2 linked regions of the Anolis sagrei genome follow. The protein of the gene in region 2 interacts with the protein of the main gene of each other region in a biochemical or structural test. Links are inferred from orthologs where the notes say so. Each region holds a gene or a part of one and is shown on either strand. Other genes may lie near its edges.

Evidence for each region.
Region 1: of the proteins of RIGI (region 2) and RNF125, one has a biochemical effect on the other in vitro, tested with the Homo sapiens proteins (3 studies listed by BioGRID and IntAct, with this or other methods). The link is inferred for Anolis sagrei from reciprocal best matches to the Homo sapiens genes RIGI and RNF125.

Annotation. Positions count from the first base shown.
Region 1 is NC_090024.1:55,235,899-55,243,594, forward strand, and holds the start of RNF125 (E3 ubiquitin-protein ligase RNF125), read right to left. Parts: upstream 3,144-7,696; 5' UTR 2,992-3,143; coding exon 2,786-2,991; intron 1-2,785. UniProt on the Homo sapiens protein: E3 ubiquitin-protein ligase that mediates ubiquitination and subsequent proteasomal degradation of target proteins, such as RIGI, MAVS/IPS1, IFIH1/MDA5, JAK1 and p53/TP53.
Region 2 is NC_090022.1:205,270,115-205,277,510, forward strand, and holds the start of RIGI (antiviral innate immune response receptor RIG-I), read right to left. Parts: upstream 3,112-7,396; 5' UTR 2,962-3,111; coding exon 2,856-2,961; exon of another isoform or gene 2,815-2,855; intron 1-2,814.

The sequences.
Region 1 (7,696 bases), on a different chromosome or scaffold from region 2:
AAAATAATTATGATCCAGCTTTTATTGTAATGGCCATTTGAATGCATCTATTCACCATACATATGAATCATACATCCAGATACAGATAAATTATTTAAAGTGTATTTATAGTGACTTTTTAAAAAATCAAAGTAGATGTTATGGCATATTAACTAGAGGTAAATCTACATTGTAGAATTAATGCAATTTGGCACCTCTTTTATTGCTATGGATCAATGCCAAGGAATCATAGGACTTTTAATTTTTGCAAGGTTTTTGGCCTTCCCTGCCAAAGAGGGCTGACCCAGGGTTTAAAACTGCATTAATTGTAGTGTAGAGCAGGCATGGGCAAACTTGGGCCCCCGCAGGTGTTTTGGACTCCAACTCCCACAATTCCTAACAGTCTCAGGCCCCTTCCTTTCCCCCCTCAGCCGCTTAGGAATTGTGGGAGTTGGAGTCCAAAACACCTGCGGGGGCCCAAGTTTGCCCATGCCTGGTGTAGATCCACCCCTATAGAAGTACTTTTAATTAGTTTTCGAAGGAACCTCTCCAACTTTTTCCTAGGCTGTCGGACAATAAAGCATTGCAACACAAACTATGTTCTTCTTTAACACCAATCCTTCCAACAAGCAAGCCAGCAAAGCCAAAACAAAACGTCTCCTTAGCCAGCTTAAACATGAAAAAAGAAAGAAAAGGAAAACATGGCTCCTTTGTTTTTCAAACCCTGTTTTTTAATTCACTCCTGTGCTTGTTTACTCGGGAAGTCAGTTTCACTGTGAACAATGTGACTTCATCAAACTAGAGAATGAATCCACATTCTGCCTCCTGCAGAATTCTGGGGTCTGTAGTTTAGGGAGGAGCCTTTAAAAGCCTCCCTAAACTACAAACCCCAGAATTCTGCAGGAGGCAGAAACCGGATTTAAGTTTAGTGATCCTGTTAAAGGCTTCTCCCTAAACTACAAACCCTAGAATTCTGCAAAAGGTAGAGATTGGATTTAAAGTTAATTCATTCTCTAGTGTGATGAGGTCTTAATGCTGCATCTACACCAGGGGTCCTCAAACTAAGGCCCGGGGGCCGGATGCGGCCCTCCAAGGGCATTTACCCGGCCCTTGCTCAGGGTCAACCTAAGTCTGAAACTACTTGAAAGCACACAACAACAACAACAACAACAACAACAACAACAACAACAACAACAACAACCCTATCTCATTTTAAAGTATTTTTGCACTACAAATAAGATATGTGCAATGTGCATAGGAATCCATGTTTTTTTCAAATTATAATCCGGCCCTCCAACAGGTTGAAGGACTGTGACCTGGCCCTCTGTTTAAAAAGTTTGAGGACCCCTGATCTACACTGTAGGATTAATGCAGTTTCACACCACTTTAACTGCCATGGCTCAAACTACGCAACAATGGAAGTTGTGGCTTTACAAAGCCTGTAGCCTCCTCGCTACAAATCCCAAAAATCATAGTACTGAGCCATGGCAATTAAAGTGGTCTCAAACTGCATTAAATCTACAGTATAGATGACCCCGTATATATAGATAGATAGATAGATAGATAGATAGATAGACAGAGACAGACAGACAGAGACACAGAAAGAGATTGGTAGCACAGGCTTTTATGCATCTCAGGAAGTGGTCTTTCCTTTAAGAAACTGCATTAAAGTGGTATCAAACTGCATCAAATCAACAGTATAGATGCACCCAGTAGAGGGGGGGGGTGGATAGTGAAGGCTTTCATGCATCTGAGGAAGTAGACTTTCCTTTAAGCAATTAAAGTGGTGTCAAACTGCATCAAATCTACAGGATAGATGCACCCAGTACAGAGAGAGAGAGAGAGATTGGTAGCTAAGGCTTTTGTGCATCTCAGGAAATAGGCTTTCATTTAAGCAATTGCATTGAAGTAGTGTCAAACTACACCAAATCTACAGTATAGATGCACCTGGTATAGAGAGAGAGGAGAGAGAGAGAGATTGAGATTGGTAGCAAAGACTTTCATGCATCTCAGGAAGTAGACTTTCCTTTAAGCAATTGCATTAAAGTGGTGTCAAGCTACATTAAATCTACAGTATAGATGCACCCAGGAGAGAGAGGGATTGGTAGCATAGGCTTTCATGCATCTCAGGAAGTAGACTTTTCACTAAGCAATTGCATTCAAGTGGTGTCAAACTGCATCAAATCTACAGTATAGATGCACCCAGTGTGTGTGTGTGTGTTTATATATGGGGGGGGGGGGGAAGAGGGAGGTAGCACAGGCTTTCATGCATCTCAGGAAGTAGACTTTCCTTTAAGCAATTGCATTAAAATGGTGTCAAACTGAATTAAATCTACAGTATAGATGCACCCAGTACACACACACACACACACACACACACACAAACACACACACACACACACACACAGATAGCACAAGCTCATGCATCTCAGGAAGTAGACTTTCCATTAAGCAATTGAATTCAAGTGGTGTCAAACTGCATCAAATCTACAGTATAGATGCATCCAGTAGAGAGAGAGAAAGAGAGAGAAAGAGAGAGAAAGAGAGAGATTGGTAGCACAGGCTTTCATGCATCTCAGGATGTAGACTTTCCATTAAGTAACTGCATTAAAGTAGTATCAAACTGCATTAAGTCTGCAATGTAGATGCGCCCAAAGTCGATTCCCACAATGGAACTTCCGAGGAGTTAGTACAAGCAACCACAACAAAGAACCCACGCCATGGCAATGAAAGCGGTATCAAAGCGCATTAATTCCACGGTGTGGATGCAACCCAAGGATGAGTGAAGGGAAACTGTGGCACTTACACGTGTCCGCACTGCGTCCTGACGGGCTGGTTGAGCACTTCCAAGCAGATGGAGCAGTCGAAAGAAGGGATCTGTTGTTGTTGTTGGGCTTTTTCTTCTCCCGCTCGCCCCAACTGCAGGGGGAGCGGCGGGATCCCGGCTGGGAGGCCTCCGGAGTCCGACGAAGTAGTGGCTTCCCTCCCGTCGCTGCTCAACGCGGAGCCCATCGTCTGAATCCTCCCTTTCTTTCTCTCCGGGGAGACCTCGCGATACTTGGGAGCCCGCAGGAACTTAGCGAGAGGGAGCCTCTTTAGTTCTCTCTGCCTCTCTTTCTGGGCTGCGCTGGAGACCCCCTCGGCGCTCGGGGCGGGGCCACAGGGTCGAATCCCCGCAGGAGCCTGCCATTGGTCCCCGGCCAACCAATGACCGCTGCCGCCCATTAAAAGGGGGCGGTGCCAGCTAATGCCCCGCCCACAGGGGGGGGGCTTCTTGGTTGCCAAAGGGGTTGGTCTCCAGATAGACCAGCAGTGTGTGTTTTGTGTGCAGTAGTTATTAGCCATGTATTCTACACTGTAGAATGAATGCAGTTTAACACCACTTTTAACTCCCACGGCTCAGAGCATGGAAGTTCCAGAAGTGGTAGTTTCACAAGGTCTTTGGCCTTTTGTGATTCCAAAGGTAAAGATAAAGGTTTCCCATTGAATTAAGTCTAGTTGTGTGCGACTCTGGGGGCTGGTGCTAATCTCCATTTCTAAGCTGAAGAGCCGGCGTTGTCCTTAGACACCTCCAAGGTTATGTGGCCGGCATGGAGCGCAATTACCTTCCTGCCAACTCACATTTGCATGTTTTCAAACTGCTAGGTTGGCAGAAGCTGGGCCTAACAGTGGGAGCTCACCCTGCTCCCCAGATTTGAACTGGCAACCTTTTGGTCAGCAAGTTCAGCAGCTCAGTGGTTTAATCTGCTGCATCACCAGGGGCTCATGCAATTCTATAGCATTGCCCTTTTAAACTTCCTTGGCTCAATGGCATCAAAGCCTGGGATTTGTACTTTGGTTAAACACTTGTACCACCTGACAAAAAGCTACAGAACTTGTAAAATCGCAACTCCCAGGATTCCATAACACCAAAAGTGCACTGTTTCTGCAGTGTCAGGGCATTCTAAGTTGTACTGTTCAATGTGGAGCTAACTTCTGAGTAAACATACATGGCATTTTGGGGGGGGGGGGGAGAGAAACTATTTTGTTTTTGTAACGTTTTGTGATGATTTAGATCACTTTAATGTAGATCACCCTCGCTCTTGTCCTTCAGGGGGAAAAAAAAAGCAAAAACATGGCTGTGGAACCAAGCATTTGGGCAGTAAGCAGGACAAGAAACGAACACAGATTATGTGCAATTGTTATTTGATACTGGAACGGCCGGGACCATGCTTTTGGATCATGTGATTTTAATGTTTATATTAATATATTTTTAATTCCTCGTTTTAATGTTTAAATGTAGTAACGTTTTATGATTTAATTTATAGTTTTATGTTACTGTTGTTTTATGTCAGGTTTTCATGTTTTGTAAGGCATTGAATTTTGCCGTGAATATGTTGGAAACCACTTTGAGTCCCTCCAAGGGTGAGAAAAACGATTTATACATGAAGTAATAAATAAATTTTTAAAATGAATTCACTTAAATGTTTCCTTAGCTCACACATTAATCAAAGTGGAGGCCATAGTGAAGAAACCAGAAGAACATTAAGGGAGCAGCTACAGTACACTGTAGAAATTATGTTCTTTGACAATACAACCGCCATGGGTCAATGTTATGGATTCCATTGACCCATGGCAGTTGGGTTGGGTCAACTGCCAACACAGTTGACCCAATTCCTGGGATTTGAAGTTTGGTGAAATACCAGCACTTTTTTTTTTTTTTTTTTTTACAGAGGAGCTAAAGACCTCGAAAAATTACAACTCCATGGCCTGGAACTAGGGCAGTTAATTATAGCATTCATTCCACAGACTAGAGGCACCTAAAGACCTGGAAGGAACCAGACAGGATCTCGAAGTGAAAAGATCTGTCATTGAATACTAAATTAAAGTGGCTCATGTTGTCATATTTCTACATATGGTTGTGAAAGCTGAATAACGAAGAAAGTTGATAGGAAGAAAATAACTCATTTGAGATAATGATGCTTGAAAAGAGTTATGAGGATTCCATGGATTGCTAAAAAGACAAATAAATAGGTCAGAATTCACTTTAGAAGCCAAGATGACTAAACCGTGCTTCACTAGATGATTCATTTCAGAAGACAATTAGGCTTGGGAAAGTGGAAGGCAAAAATCCTTCTTTAAAAGAAGCAAAGCCAGGGGGAAATGCAGTATGAAAAGAAAAATACCACATTCCAGATGGATTGATTCAATCAATGAACCCAAGGCCCTGAATCTGCAAAACCAGACCAAGGCTGCTGATGACAGAAAAGGGTTGCTATAAGATACGATCAAGATAGGTTCTGAAGGTTTGTTTAAATTGGATTTGTATGTAAATTGGAACAAGTAATTTTTAAATCATTCAATATATATGGATGGAGTTACACTTAAAATATTATCTGTTCTGACACACACAAGCTTTGGATATCATAGGGAAGGGTTAACACCCCTGAGGTGTCTGTTTTGCTGTCTGCGCCCCTGTTCAGAAGATTTCACCTCACTTTTTGTCCCTGTGAGAATTGGATTTTAAAAAAAATGGCTTGTGGAAACGGATTGGTGCTAAAGTTTCAGCGGGGACACCTCCCCCCTCCCAGGATAACTCTTTTAGGAGTGAATTTCCCTTCCTAGGTGTTGTTGTCTCACCGCTATTCTTAACTATGAATAATTTAACTTGGATGTTTGTAACTCGGGGGCTACCTGCACTAGTACAAAAGGTGGCTGGACTTCTATGAAGTTTTAAAATAGTTTGAAAGCTAAAGTTTTCACCACTCACTAAAGAGCAAAGAGAGACAATAGGAAGGGAGAGAGATCTATCCCTAGGGAGGGAAATTCACTCCTATGGAATTCTGCCTCTGAGGAAGTTACATTCCCTTAGCCTCAGATGAAGACAAAGACAATCCCCCCTTCTGAGTAAATCTTGCCAAGAAAACTCCGAGAAAGGGTCACCTTAGGTTCACCATAAGGTGAAAACATCATGAAGATGCACAGCAACTGTGTTTCATAGTTGGCTTACAAAAAGATTTAAAAAGGTAAATCTAAAATCCTGAGGAGAAAAAAAATCAAAGCACATCTCCCACAATATAATAAAATACAACACTCTCCATACTCTCCATGGATATAAAAGTATTTGGGAGCATCTACATTATAGAATGAATGCAGCTTGACACCACTTTATAAGACATGGCTCAATGCTATAGAATCCTGTGAGTTATAGTTTGGTGAGTCACTTGCACGTTTTGGCAGAGAAGACTAAAATTATAAAGCTACAGTTCCCATTATTTCATAGCACTGAGCCATGGGTCTCAAGATGCATTCATTCTACAGTGTTGATGCATTATATGCCTGCCAGTGAAAGAAGAGTAAAGTGGTTGGCCAGTCTAATTTCCTATGGAGGGGAAATTGCACAGTGTGAGAGCCCCCACCCACTCTCCTCCTGTGTCCTTACCAGACAGGTCTGCGATGGATTGAAGATTTGTAGAAGGAAGGAAAAATTTATCAGATACCATTTAAGTCTTTATAACCAGCTGTTTAAAATGTGCCTGGAAACAAGCCAGTGGCCAGTGAAGCTGTGTTATAGTAAACTAAAAGATATATAATCAAAACTGACTTTTCCTGGAACAGATGCAACTGATGTGCTAGTCTTAAAAATGAAACCCTGGACATCAGGGCTCAAGTCTAGTAGTGCATCCAAGCTGTGAGCCTGATGTTTCAGTGGGTTTCAGGGAACTGTTTGTATGAGTCACACAGGTGGAAGCACAACTCTGTTCAGGTTGCCAGTTTAGGGTACGCCAGCACAAGAGGGATGGAGTTTCCTAAACAAACTCTTCCCCCCAAGGCCTTCCAAATGTTGTGTGGGATGTCAACCAAGGATTTATATTTGTTTGAACACAAAGTCCTCAAAGGACTAATGTTTATTGAAGACAAATAAAAATGTTAATGTGCCAGTAACGCTACGTAATTTACAAGAATTCCTGGATGTAGAAAGGCCCCTGATGACCTCAGTAAGCATGGGATTGCTGAGGGTTTAGGGAATGAAGGCTATCATAGCATATTGGGAGCAAGGCCACTTTGCTTCCTACACTTGTTCAGCCATAACACCTGAATGGAAACATGGTCTTTTCTAATATTAGGTGTACAGCTGAATTATACCCAGAATTCTGCAGGAGGCAGCCACAGGATTTCAGTGTGATGCTATACTCTTTGCCTATTCTTTATGTTCTAGTGTGATAGACTGGCTTTGACATAAGCCCTCCTGTCCAAAATGAATTATGCATAAAGACAAAGTAGGAAAATAATAACTTGGAAATACTTCATAGTAAGAGCAAGCAAGTGCTTCCTGTAGAAATCTGCACTCTACAGAGCAGTCAACCAGTAGCATGAACTGATGTTTGCAGTATTTTTTGTAGTACTTTCGCAATTATAGCACTAATATGGCACTGATTGCCATGGCTACATCAAGGGGTTGTTTGTTGGTGAAACTCTACTATGGAATTGTTGTTGATCATAAGTTGAACGTGAGCCTGCAGTGTGATACTGTACCAAAAGAGAAAAATGCTTTAATCTGTTCTCTGTATTTTAATATGCATTTTATACAAATATGTTTTGATATGCATCTTTTATAGACATACATTTTGATATGTGTATTTATAGAACCTTTACAATGCTTAACTATGCCGTAACCCACCTAGAACCACGAGGAGAGGCAGGTAAGAAATAAAATGATGATGATGATGATGATGAT
Region 2 (7,396 bases):
CAAGTCTACATCAAGACCACCAAATGCAGCAATGCCCAAACACGGATCAAGGAACATGAAAGGCATTACAGACTAACCCTCGGTCCCATCTTCAGGTCACTTCTGATGAGGTGAAAATATCTCCTGACATGAAACAATCAGGGCCAACTAACACCTTCCAACAAAGGATTTTCCCAGGCAAGAAGCAGCCATTCAACACTAATCAAGGTGGCCCATTGCAACATTCACACTTGCCTCAAGCAGACAAGAGTTCTTTCTCCCACCCTGGACATGCCACAGATATATAAACCTTAGTTGCCTGGTTTCCAACAGACCTCCCAACCTCTGAGAATGCCTGCCATAGATGTGGGCAAAATGTCAGGAGAGATTTCTTCTGAAACAAGGCCATGCAGCCTGGAAAACTCACAGAAACCCATTTCTATTCCCAGTTTTTGACAAATGGTGTTAGCATTTTGCAGAAGTTACAATCTGCTGGCTGCATGTGGGGTGGAGAAGGGATGGTAATTCAGTCACAGCATATTCAATGGCACTTACATCCAAGTAAGTATCACACTTGCTCCCCCTAAATATACACAAATTGATTTACTTTTTGAACCTAGAGATTCCTAGAGAGAACAATTTCAATGAAATCTGTGAATAATCATCAAATTCACAGATATGAAACCCACAAATGTGAAGAGACAACTATAACACTATGTAACAAAATTTAGAAAAACATCTGTTCCTGGTTTGAAAGTGCCACACATGTATGCACATACATCCACATATATACACATACATAAACATATACATACATATGTACCCAGGCATGTAGCCGGGGGGGGGGGCTTGAGGGGCTTCAGCTCCTCCCCCCCCCCCCCCAATTCTCATGGTGGTTCGCGAAAAGGCCTTACTGGTGCATTATTTAAACTGTTATGTTTATTCATATCATGATCTGATCACCATGCTCAATATATCCCATATGCATGGGGGTATTGGGGTAATAATACAAAAGGTTTGCTAGGCTAGACCCTCTTTCACTCAGACTCAGCCCCCCCCCCGAAACTCAGCCCCCCCCGAACCCCCCCCTGAAAAAAATTCAGCCCCCCCCCCCCTGAAACGAAATCCTGGCTATGGGCCTGTATGTACCCATACATATATATACACATATATGCAAAAATGTATACACAACATGATCACATGGTCTTCAGTTCCTCCCACAACCACAATCAACATAGTTAAACAGCACACATATACAGATGGACACATGCACACACACATGTACATACATATAGGGCACACATATACACAAAAACATGCACATACATACATAAATATACATACATATATGCCCATACATATATACACATATATGAAAAACGTATACACAGCATGATCACATGGTCTTCAATCCCTACCACAACTTCAATCAACATACACGTATACAGATGAACACATGGACACACACATGTACATACATAGAGGGCGCATGTAGGTACAAACATATACACATACATTCACACATATACATACATATATACCCATACATAGGTAAAAGGTAAAGGCTGTCTCCTGACATTAAGTCCAGTCGTGTCCAACTCTGGGGGTTGGTGCTCATCTCCAGGCCTGTAGCGAGGGGGGGGGTTAGGGGTTCAACCCCCCCCCCCCCCAAATGTTTCAGATTTTTTAAAAAACCTGGTTTACTCATGAATTTTAACTGGTTAACCAAATCCCCATGCTAAGTCTATGAGATGCAAAAAATTAAGAGTCCTTCCAGAACTGCAAGCACTATCTCTTACTTACTTACTTAGGCGATCCCTCGTTGGACGAGTAAGATGGTCTTCCATTATGGATTTCCTTGTGGGTCCGTATGTGGCTGTGGAGCCCTATTCTTGCTCTGCATCTTCTTCCGCAGTGAGGGCATTGGTTTCCAGGTGGAAGGCGTTCCCGGTCGGGGTTGGCTTGACGCGCCTTCCTCCTGGCACGTTTCTCTCTTTCACCCTCCACTCGTGCCTCCTCGAATTCTGCAGCACTGCTGGTCACAGCTGTCCTCCAGCTGGAGCGCTCAAGGGCCAGGGCTTCCCAGTTCTCAGTGTCTATGCCAGAGTTTTTAAGGTTGGCTTTCAGCCCATCTTTAAATCTCTTTTCCTGTCCACCAACGTTCCGTTTTCCGTTCTTAAAGCACTATCTCAGGCAAATATTGACAATTTATTCACACTGTCATTACTTGCAGCAATAGCCGATGTAGCGAAGCAACCAAGTTGGGTGTGTGTGTGTTGAATGCTCTCATTAAGGAGGCCAGACTTGGTGGAGGTGGTTGACAGGGGCGGAGGGGCAGGCTATTGAAGGCTGCTCTGCCCCCTGCTGTGCTCTTTGCTTCAGCGTGAGCTAGGAGGCAGGTTTCACCCCCCCCCCCCGAAAATTTCAACCCCTCCCGAAAAAATTTTCTGGCTACGGCCCTGCTCATCTCCATTTCTAAGCCAAAGAGCCAGTGTTGTCCATAGACACCTCCAAGGTCATGTGGCCAGCATGACTGCATGGAGCACCATTACCTACCCATACATATATACACATAATGCAAAAATGTATACACAACATGATGACATGGTCTTCAGTCCCTGGGCAGAGTTGCATACTTACACACATCTGTGGACACTTATGTGCACATATATTGATACACATATACATGCATATACATATACATGCAAACATACTCACAAATACATACACACATCCTTCTATATCGATATACCCAGCGATGTGTGTGTGGGGGGGGCGCGCCTATATACACTCCCTTGTGCACACCCATAATAATAAGTAAGTGCAGGCACACACTGGGAGCAGAAGGGAGAGAGGAGGGAGAGGGAGATGCTGACCATCGGAGAGCCAGTCCTTCATGTAGCAGAGGATGTAGACGGGGTTGAGGGTCTTCTGGATGTAATGCCCGAAGCGGAGCAAGTTCTCCTTCTCCTCGGCACTCATGGCGAAGGCGAGGCTCTCTTCCCTGCCTCCCAAGCACTCTTATAGAGGAAGCAAGGCAGGGGGCCCCCAGGCTGGGGGCAAGGGTCCCGGGGCGCAGCCTCCTCCTCCTCCTCCTCCTCCTCCGCCGGCTTCCCTTTCCCTCTCCAGAAGCCGACCGGCTGGGAAGAGAGGCGGAGCCCGGGCTGGAAACGAAACCCAAGGCAGAGAAACCGAAAGCAGGCGGAGAGTCGAGGAGGAAAAGGTTTGGCAGCACTTCAACTGCTAGATCTATCTCCAGGCCGGGGAATCCCGGGAGTTGCACTTTGGGGAGCCCTCTGGACCAAGCGAAAGCCTGTGCAAAACTTGGGTGCCCACGGACTCAGAGTAGCCAGCTATGCAATTCAAGCAGAATCAAGTTGCATTCATTCTACAGCAGCGTTTCTCAACCGAGGGGTCGCAAGGAGAGTGTCAGGGGGATCGCCAAAGACCATCAGAAAAAAACGTTTTTTTCTGTTGGTCATAGGGATTCGGTGTGGGAAGTTTGGCCCAATTCGATCGTAGGTGGAGTTCAGAATACTCTTTGTCGGTAGGTGAACCAGACAAACTACAACTCCCAAATGTCAAGGTCTATTTTCCCCAAACTCCACCAGTGTTGGCTTTTCGGCATATTGAGTATTTCTGCCAAGTTTGGTCCAGATCCAGGCATGTAGCGGGGGGGAGGGGGGGGAGCTTGAGGGGCTTAAACCCCCCCCCCCCGAAATTCTCATGGCGGTTCGCGAAAAGGCCTTACTGGTGCATTATTTAAACTGTTACGTTATTCATATCATGATCTGATCACCATACTCAATATATCCCATATGCATGGGGGTACTGGGGCAATGATACAAAAGGTTTGCTAGGGTAGACCCACTTTCACTCAGACTCAGCCCCCCCCCCCGAAACTCAGCCCCCCCGAACCCCCCCTGAAAAAAACTCAGCCCCCCCCCCCCCCCCCCCCCCGAATCGAAATCCTGGCTACGGGCCTGTCCAGATCCATCATTGTTTCATTCCACAGTGCTCTCTGGATGTAGGTGAACTACAACTCCAAAAGCTCAAGGTCAATGCCCACCAAAACCCTTCCAGTATTTTCTGTTGGCCATGACAGTTCTGTGTCCCAAGTTTGTTTCAACTCCATCGTTGGCGGACTTCAGAATGCTCTTTGATTGTAGGTGAACTATCAATCCCAGCAACTACAACTCCCAAATGTCAAGGTCTGTTTTCCCCAAACTCCACTTGTGTTTACATTTGGGCATATTGCGTATCCGTGTGTGTGTGTGTGTGTGTGTGTGTATGTATGTGCGTGTATATATATATATATATATATATATGGCATGGGCCAACTTCGGCCCTCCATGTGTTTTGGACAAAATTTGTCCATGCCCATATCCATTTATATATATATATAATCAGTGTTTGGTTTGGGGAGGGGGCACCAAAATACTGTTTGCTTACCATTGAAAATTACCTACGGCCACCTCTGTATCCCTGCCAAGTTTGGTCCAGATCCATCATTGTTTGTGTCTACAGTGCTCTCTGGATGTAGCTGAACTACAACTCCCAAACTCAAGGTCAATACCCACTAGGCCCTTCCAGTATTTTCTGTTGGTCATGGGAGTTCTCTGTGGGAAGTTTGGCCCAATTCTATCATTGGTAGGGTTCAGAATGCTCTTGGACGGTAGGTGAACCATAAATCCCAGCAACTACAACTCCCAAATGTCAGGGGGCCTCATCACACTACAGTATAAATCCACCTTAAATCTGGTTGTTGCTTTCTGCAGAATTCTGGGGTTTGTAGTTTAGGGAGGAGCCTTTGACAGCCTCACTAAACTACAAACCCCAGAATTCTGCAGGAGGCAGAAGCCGGATTTAATGTGGATTCATTCTCTAGTGTGATGAATTGGTAGGTCTGTTTTTCCCCAAACCTCCACCAGTGTTCACTTTTTGGCATATTAAGTATTCGTGCCAAGTTGGTCCAGATCCATCATTGTTTGAGTCCACAGTGCTCTCTGGATGTAGGTGAACTACAACTCCAAAACTCAAGGTCAATGCCCACCAAACCCTTCCAGTATTTTCTCTTAGTCATGGGAGTTCTGTGTGCCAAGTTTGGTTCAATTCCATTGTTGGTGGAATTCAGAATGCTCTTTGATTGTAGGTGAACTCTAAATCCCAGTAACTACAACTCCCAAATGACAAATCAGTTCCTCCCCCCAACTCCACCAGTATTCAAATTTGGACATATTGGGTATTTGGACCAAATTTGGTCCAGTGAATGAAAATGCATCCGGCATATCAGTTCCTGGGATATAGGGCCTGTTTGGAAGGGCTCTCAGGCACCTTCCACACAGCTGTATAAAATCCACATTGAACTGAATTATATGGCAATGAGGACACCTTCTACATTGCCTCTGGCCCCTTCTACCCTGCCATATAATCCAGATCATCAAAGCATATAATCCACATTATCTGCTTTAAACTGGATTATATGGGGCCTCTTCTACACTACCAGATAAAATCCGGATTATCTGCTATGAACTGGATTATATGGCAGTATTCCAACAATGGTTAAAAACCATAAAAACATATTTAGAACTAAAAACCACAGCGTCCCCTGTGAATAGGACACAGCGTACTCACTCCCAAGGATATGTGTCCAATGTTACAGCCATGTTAAAGTTAATGACTGAGTTGTGTTTGCACACATAGTGCAGAAGGGTGTTTTCTTTCCTTCTGGATTATTGACTGGAGATGCAAGGAGTTTCCTTCTCCTTTTACTGTGCTTGGGCTTGAAGAAATAGAAACTAAGGACACTTTCATTTATCCAAGAGGAAAGTAATTACATAACATTCTCTGGATGCTTGCCACACATATAAATAGATCAGGATTGTAATTCAAACCAGAACTAAGGGGGGGGGAATCATTTTTAGGAGGATTGGGTACACTAAGCAGGAATTTTAAACGGAGGGCCCTTCCACACAGCCATATAACCCAGAATATCAAGGCTGAAAATCCCAACATATCTGCTTTGAACTGGGTTATCTGAGTCACCACTGCCATATATCCCAGTTCAAAGCAGATAATGTAGGATCTTATAGAGTGGATTGGAAAGGACCTCAAACTGGATTAAATTAGGGCACGCCTTCCATACTCTCCCTTTCTAAACTGGGAGGGGTGCATGTAGTAGTTTATTTCCCCACTATTGAGTCGTTACCTTGTTTTTTCCTTCAGTTTATGGCAGCACTATGACTATGAGTGTGTCTACACTGTAGAATGAACACCACTTTATCTGCCATGGCTCAATGCTATGGAATCCTAGGAGTTGTAATTTGGTCAAGCACCAACACTCTTTGACAGAAGAGGCTGAAGACCTTATAAAATGATAACTTCTCTTATTCCACAGCATTGAGACATGGCTGTTAAAATGGTGTTGATGTGCATTCGTTCTACAGTGTAGACATAGGGCCACCATAAGCAGACTTCATTCACCATCTTTTGTAATGGTGTAATGGCCATGAGACACTCGCAGAAGTCACATGGAATCATGTTGGGAAAGTAGGGACTCAGACGAAGCACAGGTGTGCTGTGTTTGCCCAGGAAACTCTATATCAAATTTGAAGAATGGGAAGGTGCATTTTTATGATGGAGCTGCCAATTGCCCGCTGCCTACAGGTCCTGTCATTTGCGTCTCACAGGTTTACAAAGCCAACATAGAACCACTTGGTAGTACTCCTTGTTGATGGTAGTACCATGTGTTACATACTTGTGATGAACCACAACACTGGAGTCAAAGTAGACCGTCAGCATGACTTTTTTTTGGACTTGCCTTTTTCTTTTTGGCTTTGAGGATGTTGGATGCATCCATTGTGATGACTGCAATTTGGTTTCTGGCTCATACCCCTAAACCCAGGACTCATCGCCAGTGATCAGTGTTTATTTCTATTTTATTTTAATTTATGGTTTTTATATTCCGCCCTTCTCACCCCAAAGGGGACTCAGAGTGGTTCACAGAACACATATACAGCAAATATTCAGTGCCGATTATACAATGACAAAACGGACAATAGATAGAGGAGTGTGTGTATGTATATACGCACATGCTTTCCCATCTTTTGGCATCTTTGGAGGCTGTGCTCATTTCCGGCCACAAGGGAGTGCTGTCACTCCATCTCCTTGTTGAAGAGCGTTTCTTTGTTTATAAACTTCCTCTTTTTTCTGATCGAAACACCATGCCTATTGTGACTGAGCTGGAACCACAGAGTGCCTCTGATGGTCAGCTGGAATCACAGAGTATCTCTGATGAGGATGATGGGATTCAAGTTCACAATCTGGTCCAAAATGCCCCTGTTATAGACAATGAGGAACAGGGGATGCAAGTTCAGTTTCCCACAGCAAGAAATGAGATTGTTGATACCGAAACTAG